Linked DNA regions of Mus musculus: region 1 is reported to be linked to region 2. Evidence: microRNA targets listed by miRTarBase, many of them from high-throughput screens and not tested one by one. Region 2 holds a microRNA gene; the other region holds the end of a gene's coding sequence.

Evidence for each region. The annotated mature microRNA mmu-miR-880-3p reads UACUCCAUCCUCUCUGAGUAGA and lies in region 2 at 1,138-1,159, shown strand. An mRNA with a match to its seed (bases 2 to 7 or 8) in the 3' UTR can be bound and repressed. Matches are read on the target gene's strand: a 7mer-m8 pairs with bases 2 to 8, a 7mer-A1 pairs with bases 2 to 7 and ends in A, and an 8mer does both.
Region 1: the mRNA of Man1b1 is a reported target of mmu-miR-880-3p. Seed matches in the 3' UTR shown: 8mer at 1,542-1,549.

Annotation. Positions count from the first base shown.
Region 1 is chr2:25,349,934-25,353,001 of GRCm38, reverse strand. Man1b1 (mannosidase, alpha, class 1B, member 1) reads right to left here. Exons shown (of 13, transcript NM_001029983.2): 13 at 789-2,640. The coding sequence ends at 2,437. Dpp7 (dipeptidylpeptidase 7) reads left to right here. Exons shown (of 13, transcript NM_031843.2): 12 at 246-316; 13 at 436-712. The coding sequence ends at 583. Among named protein-coding and RNA genes, the nearest start is that of Dpp7, 4.9 kb to the left of the region's middle.
Region 2 is chrX:66,798,571-66,801,698 of GRCm38, reverse strand. It overlaps Mir880 (microRNA 880), which reads left to right and starts at 1,092; the gene lies at 1,092-1,169. It overlaps Mir463 (microRNA 463), which reads left to right and starts at 2,402; the gene lies at 2,402-2,476. It overlaps Mir878 (microRNA 878), which reads left to right and starts at 114; the gene lies at 114-191.

The DNA of each region.
Region 1 (3,068 bases), not on the chromosome of region 2:
CCTCTTCTCTCTTTTGGGTTGCTTTTTTTCCCCCTACATCACTTGATGTATAGTCTAACATCTGGCCCATCACATCCAACCTTTTCTTTCCAATGGAGCTATCTGAAACTGTGCAGTAAGCTCATTATTGCTTCAGTTGCATCCCAAAGACAGTATTGGCATCTATGTCAGGGTGCAAGGGTGGGACAGGGCTTGCCTACCTGTGGCTTAAAGCACAGACTACATGCCTCAGATTCTTCCAACAGATCCAGAGCAACCTGAGTACATCAGTCATTGCTGTCACCATCCAGGGGGGAGCACATCACCTAGATCTCAGGTACAGTGTAGTGCAGCCCACCTCCAGGCCACTGTTGGGTTGTGGATTAGATGGACATGATGCTGACCCTGTCTGCTTGCCAGCTGAGTATCCTTACCCCTTATCTGTCTGCTTCTTAGAGCATCTAACTCAGAAGACCCCCCATCTGTCGTGGAGGTGCGTAAGCTGGAATCTACCCTCATTCGTGAGTGGGTAGCAGCAGCCAGACTAAAGCAACCAGCAATGCCACGGTGGCCTGGGCCTAAGAAGCAGCACCCTTCCAGATAAGATGCAGCAAACCCCAGACATCCCTTGTTTTATGTGATCTACAGTGGTGTGACAACTTGCCTTGTATCTGATGGACTGTCCAGATTTATGGTAGATGGAAGAAACTGAATAAACACATGTTAATGTGTCCTTGTCTAGTAGGATCCATGCATGGAAGGATGAGATAATTGGAGATATGCTCTACACAAAGTAACACTGCACACAGCTTGCTGAGACCATTTAGACATTTAATTAAGCAGGGACTCTAGCTCTCAGGTTTCCTGCTTTGGAGGAGGAGGGAAACCTGCCTCTACTGGGCACCAGCCTCCCCTTCCAGGCCCATTCCCATCTTGTATGCTTTAATGAGGCTCCCAGCTTTGTGGACATCTACCCAGTTTCTCTGATCCACAGTACCTCTTCAGAGGGCCACAGGGCAGTTACTGTCATCCCTTGACACCAGCCATAGTTTGGCAGGAGATGGAGAATACACTTCTCAATGCTTAGGCCCTGGGCGCCGCCTGAACCTGTCCATTCACAAGCCTATGGGGCTCCGGTAGAGGAGGACAGCATAGGGAGAAGCTAACATCAACCAAAGGGTTATAACTGATGGGGGGGGGGGGGGGTGGAGGGCGGCAGCTTCTACCCATAAACTCAAGGCCTAAGGATATGTGACCAGCCAAGTCCTTCTTTGTAAACACCTTTGGTGTTAGAACTGGCTTGGGGTCCACGTGTTTAACAGGAAGTCCCCAGCGTAGCTACTATACCTCAGAGGCACAAGGTGGCTGCCACTGAGCTGCAGATGAGTTAGTTAGCATGTCAAATCTCCAGATCTTGGGATATACAGGGAACACAGGCCCAGAGCCTTGAGGTCCTTTCTATTCTGTCCAGTTTGCCCTATGCTGTACTGCATGGAATTGGATAGGAGAATCCTAGCCAAGGCCCAGGGATAGTCTAGTAACAACTCATCAAAGACAGGGCCTACTCCATGGGCTCAGACACCAAGGCACAACTACCACAAACCTATCAGCCGGCAGCAGCATGTGATCTTCACAGGCCCTTGTGAGACGGCACAACCAAGCATCCTAGCCTGTTTGTATAATGGCCCCAAAGCCTTCCTACCTGAAGTGGACAGGAGCTCTGACTTTAGAGGGTAGTTGCTGAGATGTTATCCAGAGAACCTGCTGTCCCCTTAAGGTCAGTCTAGATAGACACCACCCCTTCCCTCCTCTCCACAAGAACCATTACAGTGGGACCAAGTCCACTTTCTTCTCAGCTGAGAGATCACATTATACCAGGGTATCCTGGGAATAAGACAAATTTACTGTTCTAACCCCCGCCAGCCCAGTAGGGTAGCCAGGAGGATCCCTGAGTCCAACCCGTAAACACTAGAGCCACAAAGACCCTCAAGGTCACACTGGCCCAGTGGACCCATGGGTCAATCAGGAGTCAGGGCTATCACAGGCCATTGGGCCATGCCCAGCACCTCACTGGTTTGGGCTATCACTCTGAACTCAATACAGGCACTGGGGTCCTGGGTGGTCCCAGGAGGTGATAAGAAGTCTTGGGACTACCATGGGGCTGCCGGTAGCCAGCCAACAGGGTCATTCAGGTATGGGAATCAGGAGCCATGATATGAGGTTTCGAGGAAGTCAAAGGCTTGGTAGACTTTCCAGCCTAAACCCCAGAACCCATACCTGCTAGTCTGACTCCTGCCCCTCCCACCACCTTCATGAAAAGTTGAAACTGGAGGGACCTACAACTGGGCAGGTACATCACACTTGACAGCTGCCCAAAACTATGTGGGCCTTGTGAAGGTCAGGGACCCAACAGGCCCACCTCAGTCTCCATCAGTGCCCAGACCAGGTGCTCTCCTCCTACGCAGGAGCCCAGATGGGGAGGGGATGGGCTTCTGTGTTGAACACACAGCTGTCCAGACTGAGCAGCTCCAGGTCATCAGAAAAGAGCAGGTACAAGTACTTCAGGGTTTCCCCCACAAAGAAGCTCTCCATCTTGTCCCTGGGCTCAGGCTTGTGGGAATTCTGGACGTTGTTGATAGAAGAATAGCCACCTGAGGGGACCTGCATAAGAGCCAAAGCCTCAATGACACAGGTTGAGCCAAGCCTTGTGAAGAACTTCTAGCTAGACGTGTCACTCAGGCTACTTGTTCAACCCCACATATATGGCCCCAGGGTAGGCTCCATCCTAGCAACTACCCAGGTAATGTCCAAGGTCAACCACAGTTCTACACAGGACCCTGTAAAATGCCAATAACCCCCAAGTGGCCAGAAAATACCTCCAAGAAGGGTACAGCTACAGGACATGACCAGGGTCTAGCTTGTTAAACACAACCCAGGGCAGGCACAGGCAAGAAGCTGGAGTTGTTGAGGTCTGGAGCAAAGAGCTAGGTGTCACACTTAGACCACATCCAGCTCTATAACCTTTTCTGGCCATGTCACAGTAAGAGAGAAGGCAAGGTAGGCCATGGACCCCAGTTGGGGAGGGGTAA
Region 2 (3,128 bases):
ACAAATTATGTCAAAGGATAGTTATCATGTTTTTTTTTAATTTAGTCTCTGATAAAAGCTGAAGTGTATGATAGAGGCTTCTTATACAGCAAGTTAATGAAAAGAGTGTTGTGTGCAATGCTTTATCTAGTTGGATGTCAAGACACGTGAAACTTAAGTGCATGACACCACACTGGGTAGAGGAGGGCTCACAGTGTTCCTCATTTGTTGTGGGCTTGGGTGGTCACAGTGCTGATAAATGAATGCTGCTGTTAGTTTGGCTGCACAGAAATAGAACCATGCATATTGTGTTTCTAGGTGTATTTATATTGTTACCTTTACATAAGGAATGTTGTGTTAGTGTCAGAAAGAATCTCTTTAAGTCAGACAAGAAAAAATAAAGTACATTAACACAGTTCCCAGTACATGAATACATTTATAAAACCTCCACTCTTTATTTTGACAGTCATTTCCCTTAGAAGAAGGCAAGTAAAAGGATTTATGGTATGAGAAACACATACTAAAGGTGTTTGATAATATGATTTTAAGCCTAAATTACAGAAGAGTTCAAACATTGTGGTTTGATGACTATGTAATAAAATGGGCAGGAGATGAAGGAAGCTTTTGTGACAGTGTCTACTTAAATACAATTATGCTCATTTTTATATTAACATTGGTACTGATGAGATGAAGTCCTTATGACCATGGATTTTCTTAAAGGAAGGTTCAGCAAGTAACTCATATAATGGCCTCTGTATGTAACCAAGGTAACTTGAAGTTCCTATTTATAGAGGAATTTTTGATATCTGATGGCTTAAATTCTCTTTAACATTCTTTGGACAGTCTGTTCTTAATCTTATGAACCTCATGTTAAATAATGTAAAGAAAGGTGCTAACATAAGGTACTTTTATTAGTGCATACATGTATAAAGTTAAATACTATAGATCATAGAATATGAAGAGTTGTGAAAGATAAAGTGCAGTATAGTCCTTTTAAACCTATGAATAAATAAGGTATTGTTGATGTATCTAACTATATTTATATAATTGCTGGAATATACTGAAGATTGTGGGATCAAGCTGAGACACAGGACATCACTGAACAAACTGTGTGCACTGCAATACTCAGATTGATATGAGTCACTTCCTATTGCATGTTACTCCATCCTCTCTGAGTAGAGTAAGGCACACCAATCACCAGTTTTGGTACCTGTAAATGTCTCATGTATGGATATGGTGAGGTTGATACATGCATGCATATTAGATGTGTTTTCCAGTCTTCAGCTTCAATGTATTACACTTCACCTTAGATAGCTTGGATGAGTGAACAGACTACAGAAGGATAAAAAATGATCTTTTTGGGAAATACTACGGTTCAGAGAAAATGGCAGTCAGCTAACTTTCATGCTAGTGAAAACCATTCTTCTGAAGCTGGAGGAATGTTAAAAAGATAGGTTCTTGATGGAATCCATGATGATGCATGAACAAATTAGACTAGCATTTAGTTATCATGTGAGTTGGTAACTTGATGCAAGCTAAAGATAAAAAGGGGATTGTAGAGGCTAGATTTCAACATTTCAACATTTACATATAATGTATGCTGCTTTAGCTAATTTTCTGTGCACCCTGGGAAACATAAAAGATGATATCCCATATTGGGTAAGGCAATATTTAATGAAGATTTCATTTGTGTACTCACCTTATGAATATATACAAGTATGTAAGCATAAAAGTGCAAAACATTTAGTTTATTCTTCATATGAATTAATAAAATGAATTTAATTTTACAGATACAGTGTTGGCAATCATCTACGCAAACTACAGGTCACTGTATCTACCATATATTGTTCTTATATGGATATTTAAAACAGAGTTGTGATACTCATTTCTTCCCTACTCCCTCACTTATCCTAGAATCTTACCTTGCTCCACAGTTAAACAATGCCCCCCCCCATTAGTCTCCTTTCCTCTTCCATACCACCTGTGTTTTGTTACCCTTTTAGTAAGCTTTTCTCACAACTCTCTACCCAGTGGCCTTTTTCTATTTTTATGGGTTCTGTAGTTATTCCTTGCTGAACACACAAATCTAATAATTATTTTAATACTTGCATGTTACAGGAGGAAGAAAAATAACTTCAACGAGAAATTCTAACTTATATAAGTGAAATTACAGTCCCCCGTATTGTCTTGGTAGAGAATACCATTAATTGAAACAGAAGACACATCAGAGGATATTCTCTTGGAGGAATTTTTGGTGACAATTTGTAGATTGTGTGTGTGTGTGTACATATATGTATATATATTATACACAAAGTATGTCAAGTTTTAGCAACAATGTACAATTGGTACTTTGCTAAAAGATAAAGAGGATCATGGAAGCTACATTTGCAACATTTTTATATTAAAGGTATGATGTACCCTGCTTTACCTAATTTGTTGTCCATCATGTAAAACATAAATGATGATAGACACCATATAAGGTAGAGGAAGGTTCACTATGTTCATCACCTGGAACATCATTGTGGTATAGAAGCATTAACCCTTGTTAGAGCTTGCTGGCCTTAATTTGGCATTTGTATCTAAAGGACCAAAGTTTAGTAAGGTGCATTTATTCTTTTTTTTCCCATTTTTTATTAGGTATTTAGCTCATTTACATTTCCAATGCTATACCAAAAGTCCCCCATACCCACCCATCCCCACTCCCCTACCCACCCACTCCCCCTTTTTGGCCCTGGCGTTCCCCTGTACTGGGGCATATAAAGTTTGCAAGTCCAATGGGCCTCTCTTTCCAGTGATGGCTGACTAGGCCATCTTTTGATACATATGCAGCTAGAGTCAAGAGCTCCGGGGTACTGGTTAGTTCATAATGTTGTTCCACCTATAGGGTTGCAGATCCCTTTAGCTCCTTGGGTACTTTCTCTAGCTCCTCCATTGGGAGCCCTGTGATCCATCCATTAGCTGACTGTGAGCATCCACTTCTGTGTTTGCTAGGCCCTGGCATAGTCTCACAAGAGACAGCTACATCTGGGTCCTTTCAATAAAATCTTGCTAGTGTATGCAATGGTGTCAGCGTTTGGATGCTGATTATGGGGTGGATCCCTGGATATGGCAGTCTCTACATGGTCCATCCTTTCATCTCAGCTCCAAAC